Linked DNA regions of Saccharomyces cerevisiae S288C. The protein of the gene in region 1 binds, or shares a complex with, the protein of each later gene. Each region holds a gene or a part of one and is shown on either strand. Other genes may lie near its edges. The genes, in order: MDY2 and SGT2. A codon is read from its position in the direction of its gene.

Region 1 (3,063 bases):
CGTGTATGAATCAGACTTAGAGGGTGCGAACGTGGATCAAGGGGTGTTGGTGTTATGTATCAAGGAATATTTACCCGAGATATGGTCACACATTGAGTCATCGTATATGAATGGCAATGGCAGCACTGACCAGATATCAGGGCCAGCATCGGGGGAAGAATATCTCTGCAGGCTGCCTACGCTGACGCTGTGTACGGCAAGTTGGTTTATGAGCTGTTTTGTGGGCGTGGTGCCCATCGAAACGACCCTGAGAATATGGGACTGTTTATTCTATGAAGAGTCTCATTTTTTATTTAAAGTGGCTTTGGGGATACTGAAATTGAGCGAAAGCGAGTTTTTGGAGAGTAAAAGCCAGAAACTGTTTAGACAGTACTCTTCGTACACCTTCGGTGGTAGTAATGACTCTGATTCAACTTTCAAAAGATTAAAGAACAAGATTAAGACGCAGGAAGAGGCAGATATGGAGATTTTGCAAGTGATTCAAAATTTCCCAAAAAGATTGCTCAATCCGAATGATATCTTTGAGAAAGTCCTGATGAAGAAGAAGGTTGCGTTGAATGGTATTACCCAGGAAAAGATTGATCGCGGTAGAGAGTATGTGGCGATGGCGAGAAATAGACAAAGGGCGAGTAGCCGCCCAAAGGAAAGAAGAAAATAGTAAGCGCAACCGTGATAAAAAGCGCAACTGTGTAAAATAACAAGTATGTACGTACTAACTATACTAATCTTATTTGGCCAGAGACCAGCCTTTTTGTAGACGCTCCATGACTTGCCTAACCGCAGCCTGATCGTTCTCGAAATTGTTCTTCAGAAGAGCCTCGATATCATCCCAGGGCACAGTGAGTTCCTGTGGAGGAGCAGGAGCAGGGGAGTTAGTGGATTTCTCGGCTTCGGGTTCCTTAGATATAGTCGGATTCGGCTTAATCATGACTGTGATTGTGGAATTGGCAGGCGTGACCTTCAAATCCGATAAGAACAGGTTATCGTGGAGGACTTTGCCCTTCAAAAGCAGTTTTATCTCGCTTATGTGGGAGGCCTTTTCCTCGCTGATCAAGTGCTGTTTTATTTGTAAGATAGTATCTGATGGGCTGAAATCATGCTCGATGGAGAACTTGGGAGCTTGAATTTTCTTTAAGGTTAAGTGGACGGCGGCGTTGTCTTGACCTTGCTGATCTTGGTGCAGTTTTAACTTCTTGGCACGATTCTGCTTATATTTATACTTCAAAGTAGGCAACGGGACACCCAAATTGGTAACATCCTTCAGAGGTTTAGTATAGCTTTTTGGTAGCTTCGGTTCAGTTAAAGTGGCTAAGGTCAAGAATTTACTAACGAACTCGTGTTCTGGACCGCTGGCGGATGTGCTCATGATTAATTTTGTATAAAGTTATTATTCTTCGCTAGTTTATCTCTGTATCGGTCTGTTCTAACCCTTTTCTCCAACTATGTTCTCCTGTGCATGTTTTCTTCTTTTCGTTTTTCCTTTGTTTTTTTTGGTCGTAGTTGTCGCAAGCTCGGCCTCCGGCCTGATTTTAAAACTATTCCTAATTCAAGATTCGGTAAAAAAGATATATAATAGCTAAGGGGAGGAGAGGAATAAGAGGAAAAAGTTACATTAGAGGACAATACTCAATCTAACCCTTACTAGATGTGCGATAGCCATCAAAAGGAAGAAGATAACGCAAATACGAGCGAAAGGGCGTTATTTTTTAATTACCATGAGTTTTCGTATTCATTCTACGAAGACCTCGGTTCCGAAGACGCTAAACCCACAGAGCACGACGAAGACCACAAATTGTGTATTACACATTTCCCGAATGTGTATGCTGCTCGGGGCTCTGCCGAGTTCCAGGTGACCCGGGTGGTACGAGTGCCCCGGCGGTTCGATGAGTCTCGCAGCAGCCTTGAAACGCCACAATTTAGTACACAGCTTCCCGGTAGCGAGCCGGCGGCAATCGTGGGCGACGATGGCACTAGCTTTGTGCGGTGCGGGCGTTACGACATTGGGGATCACGTGTTTGGCTGCTCCTCCGTCTCGCCTCTGTCAGAATATCTTAGTGCGGCAGAGCTCGCGGAGGTTGTGCACCGGGTAAACGGATTCTTGCTGCGTGAAGAAGGTGAGGTGTTCGGGTGGCGTAACTTAAGTGGCCTGTTGCTCGATATGCTTACGGGCGGTCTGTGGAGCTGGGTTTTGGGGCCCCTTCTTTCTAGACCTGTGTTTCAGGAGTCTCTCGCGTTAGAGCAGTACGTGGCGCAGCTAAACTCGCCGGGAGGTCTGCTTCACGAGCGCGGTGTGCGCCTAGTATTGCCCCGACGGTCCGGGTGCCTATCCCTAGATTTCGTCGTGCCCCGACCCAAATAGTTAAACGTGTGGTTTATGGGTGCACCAGGGCTTTATCGTGTTTTATATCGATGGCGATTTGTGCCTCCAGTGTATTTTTGTATATCCAATTAAGGTTTCTTACCTAATTTTATTTTTATCATCTTTAGTTAATGCTGGTTTGCTCTGTTTCTGCTGCTTTCTGTGCGGTTCTCCTCTTCTCTTGTTTCTTCGTGTTGTCCCCCATCGCCGATGGGCTTATATGGCGTATATATATAGAGCGAGTTTTTACGTCGAAGATCATCTCAGTTTGCTTGATAGCCTTTCTACTTTATTACTTTCGTTTTTAACCTCATTATACTTTAGTTTTCTTTGATCGGTTTTTTTCTCTGTATACTTAAAAGTTCAAATCAAAGAAACATACAAAACTACGTTTATATCAATTAATAATGTCTGAAATTCAAAACAAAGCTGAAACTGCCGCCCAAGATGTCCAACAAAAGTTGGAAGAAACCAAAGAATCTTTGCAAAACAAGGGCCAAGAAGTAAAGGAACAAGCTGAAGCTTCTATCGACAACCTAAAAAATGAAGCTACTCCAGAAGCTGAACAGGTGAAGAAGGAAGAACAAAACATTGCTGATGGTGTCGAACAAAAGAAGACCGAAGCTGCCAACAAAGTTGAAGAAACTAAGAAGCAAGCTTCCGCCGCCGTCAGTGAGAAGAAGGAAACCAAGAAGGAAGGCGGT
Region 2 (3,597 bases), 230 kb from region 1:
AGCAGCTGCCTCTATTTCAACGTCACAGAGTTCGAGCACTGTAACGTCAGAAAGCTCGCTAACTTCGGATACTTTGGCAACGAGCAGTACTAGCTCTCAATCACAGGACGCCACTTCGATAATCTATTCCACTACTTTTCACACTGAGGGCGGTTCCACAATTTTTGTCACGAACACCATCACGGCAAGTGCACAGAATTCAGGATCGGCCACAGGTACAGCTGGATCTGACTCTACGAGTGGAAGTAAAACTCATAAAAAGAAAGCCAATGTAGGGGCAATTGTAGGCGGCGTTGTAGGTGGTGTAGTGGGAGCCGTAGCCATTGCTCTTTGTATCTTGTTGATTGTCAGACACATTAATATGAAGCGGGAACAAGACAGGATGGAAAAGGAATACCAAGAGGCGATAAAACCAGTTGAGTACCCTGATAAACTATACGCCTCTTCATTTTCATCTAATCACGGGCCCTCTTCAGGTAGCTTCGAGGAGGAGCACACCAAAGGGCAAACTGATATTAACCCTTTCGACGACTCAAGGAGAATAAGTAACGGAACATTCATAAATGGCGGACCAGGAGGGAAAAACAACGTTTTAACAGTGGTCAATCCAGACGAAGCTGATTGAAGAAACCCAAAAAAAATTATTATATTCTTAAACTATTGCCAAGCAAGTCTTGTTCCTTCCCATTAATTTTTTCTTTTTCCGATTTCATTTTGCCAAATCATCTCCATTTTCACATTATGATGATCCTCTAAAAATTCATACATTTCGAATTTGAGAGCTGGAGAGCTGGAAGTAACGAGGAACATTAAATAGGAACAACAAAATTAGATTAGTTATTTTTTTTTCTACTCATTAATTTTTTTATGATATATTTGAATACCAACCTTAACTTAGTTACATAGATTTAACAAACATTAAACATGTTAATTCTTTGAAATGAATACCACCTAATAAAACTATACATTTTCAAAATAACAAATTGTTATGAAACTAATAGCTAATTATCTTCTAGTGACAATAACCACTTTACTAGAAATTATTAAAAAAATACCGCGTTGAAAGACGATATAAAGTAGGAGATTAATAAATTTATATTCATATTTTCTTCAATCTAATGAAATTGAAGCGCAAGGATTGATTATGTGATAGGATGCGTGAGTAGTAATGCATGAAAAAGGAGGAAGACGTGATTATAATATATGATGTAAAATTTTGATTCCATTTTGCGGATTCCTGTATCCTCGAGGAAAGACCTCTGGCATATTATATAGGGATATTATTCCTTTACAAAAAATGGAATGAAAGAATCAAAACAAAATTGTCATGTTTGCACAATTGCGTATACCATTGCATATAATTATGTCGAAAATCATCAATATGTATGGGAATGATCATTCCATTTTTTTCACACTGGCATAATAATTTGAATATAATAATAATGGATGATGGGCATTATTGGGAAATAAAACTATGAAATTTGCTTTTAGTACGTGTATCGATAAATATCTCTAATTTTCTCAAGATCTGTTCCTCGTGGCCCAATGGTCACGGCGTCTGGCTACGAACCAGAAGATTCCAGGTTCAAGTCCTGGCGGGGAAGATTTTTTTTAACATTGAATAGAAATTACAAAGGTCTTTTATGCTATTTTAAAGGGCTATAGGCGGCATAATATTTGCTTTTAACCTTATTGTCATGACATTCTAATCACAACACTTAGCCCTTCTTTTGTATTTTTCCAAACTTTTTCAAGTCTTAAAATTTTCCCAATCGAAAAAAATGGAAGATCCGAGAAGGTTTTATTGCCCTACGCTTAATCCCAAATTTTGCCACCATATAAAATGAGTACGAGCGATATAATCGGACAACTGAATAGAAGCTTCTGACCAAGTGATATCTTATTAATACAAATCTACTGTACGATGTCAGCATCAAAAGAAGAAATTGCTGCCCTTATTGTAAACTACTTTTCTTCCATTGTGGAAAAGAAAGAAATTTCAGAAGATGGCGCCGATTCTTTAAATGTTGCTATGGACTGTATCTCTGAAGCCTTTGGCTTTGAAAGAGAAGCTGTTTCAGGCATTTTAGGCAAGTCTGAATTCAAGGGTCAACATCTTGCTGATATATTAAATTCTGCGTCAAGAGTTCCAGAATCGAATAAGAAAGACGATGCTGAGAATGTCGAGATTAATATTCCAGAAGATGATGCGGAAACTAAAGCCAAAGCTGAGGACTTGAAAATGCAAGGTAATAAAGCAATGGCCAACAAGGATTACGAACTGGCAATCAATAAATATACTGAAGCCATTAAAGTTTTACCAACGAATGCTATTTATTACGCCAATAGAGCGGCTGCTCATTCATCCCTGAAAGAATATGATCAAGCGGTCAAAGACGCTGAATCTGCAATTTCTATTGACCCATCTTATTTCAGAGGCTACTCTAGATTGGGTTTTGCTAAATATGCGCAAGGTAAACCCGAAGAAGCCCTTGAAGCATACAAAAAGGTTCTTGATATAGAGGGCGATAATGCAACAGAAGCTATGAAAAGGGATTATGAAAGTGCCAAGAAGAAGGTTGAGCAATCTTTGAATCTGGAGAAAACCGTTCCAGAACAGTCAAGGGATGCTGATGTCGATGCAAGTCAGGGTGCTAGTGCGGGTGGATTGCCAGATCTTGGTTCTTTATTAGGAGGTGGTCTTGGAGGTTTAATGAACAACCCACAATTGATGCAGGCTGCGCAAAAAATGATGAGCAATCCAGGTGCAATGCAGAATATTCAAAAAATGATGCAAGATCCAAGTATCAGACAGATGGCTGAAGGCTTTGCTTCAGGCGGAGGAACTCCAAATTTGTCTGACTTGATGAATAACCCAGCACTCAGAAACATGGCAGGCAATCTTTTTGGTGGAGCAGGTGCCCAATCTACAGATGAAACACCAGACAATGAGAACAAGCAATAGTGGACTGAAATAAGCCTTTAATGCAATACATGTTATGTAGATACAAATATAGCTCTATCTAGGATGAGTGTTACCAGGAATTTTATTTTTACTTTGAGATCACTTGCGAAATACTTAAATAGGGACTGTAGTTTACTTTTTCTTTTTTTCAGGTAAATTCGTCGATTTTCGGAGAAGACTAGAAAATATAATGTGATGAGAAACTACATAAAAAAATTTTTACTAGTAAATGTCTATTTGAAATACTTTATCGAAAAGCTTTTTATGTAAATCTGTATAGAACTTCTCGCGTAAGACAGTTGAGTAAGCAGTAACAATGGGAAAAGGTAAAAATAAGATGCACGAACCCAAAAATGGAAGACCACAGAGAGGCGCTAATGGGCACAGTTCCAGGCAAAACCATAGGCGCATGGAAATGAAGTACGATAATTCAGAAAAAATGAAGTTTCCTGTTAAACTGGCTATGTGGGATTTTGATCATTGCGATCCAAAGAGATGCAGTGGTAAAAAACTTGAAAGGTTGGGCTTAATTAAATCATTGAGAGTTGGACAGAAATTTCAAGGTATTGTCGTTTCGCCAAACGGCAAAGGTGTTGTTTGCCCTGATGATCTAGAAATTGTCGAACAACACG

What was found.
Region 2: the proteins of MDY2 (region 1) and SGT2 are in contact, whole or in part, in an NMR structure (PDB 4ASW), measured with the Saccharomyces cerevisiae proteins. Residues at the interface, in NP_014530.1 of Saccharomyces cerevisiae: Gln82 (codon at 1,123), Lys118 (codon at 1,015), Leu120 (codon at 1,009), Gly123 (codon at 1,000), Lys124 (codon at 997), Val125 (codon at 994), His127 (codon at 988), Met147 (codon at 928), Lys149 (codon at 922), Asn151 (codon at 916); in NP_014649.1 of Saccharomyces cerevisiae: Asp28 (codon at 2,006), Gly29 (codon at 2,009), Asp31 (codon at 2,015), Ser32 (codon at 2,018), Asn34 (codon at 2,024), Val35 (codon at 2,027), Asp38 (codon at 2,036), Cys39 (codon at 2,039), Glu42 (codon at 2,048), Arg48 (codon at 2,066).

The regions. Positions count from the first base shown.
Region 1 is NC_001147.6:107,531-110,593, forward strand, and holds MDY2 (Mdy2p), read right to left. Parts: upstream 1,367-3,063; coding exon 728-1,366; downstream 1-727. Other genes in the region: Rab GTPase-activating protein MSB4, read left to right, coding at 1-658; SHR5 (Shr5p), read left to right, coding at 1,646-2,359; ZEO1 (Zeo1p), read left to right, coding at 2,767-3,063. UniProt on the Saccharomyces cerevisiae protein: Required for efficient mating. Involved in the production of alpha-factor, the KAR9 and TUB1 location to the shmoo tip and nuclear migration into pheromone-induced shmoos.
Region 2 is NC_001147.6:338,306-341,902, reverse strand, and holds SGT2 (Sgt2p), read left to right. Parts: upstream 1-1,924; coding exon 1,925-2,965; downstream 2,966-3,597. Other genes in the region: SLG1 (Slg1p), read left to right, coding at 1-625; ribosome biogenesis protein TSR3, read left to right, coding at 3,282-3,597. UniProt on the Saccharomyces cerevisiae protein: Co-chaperone that binds to the molecular chaperone Hsp70 (SSA1 and SSA2). Regulates Hsp70 ATPase activity. Required for recovery from heat shock.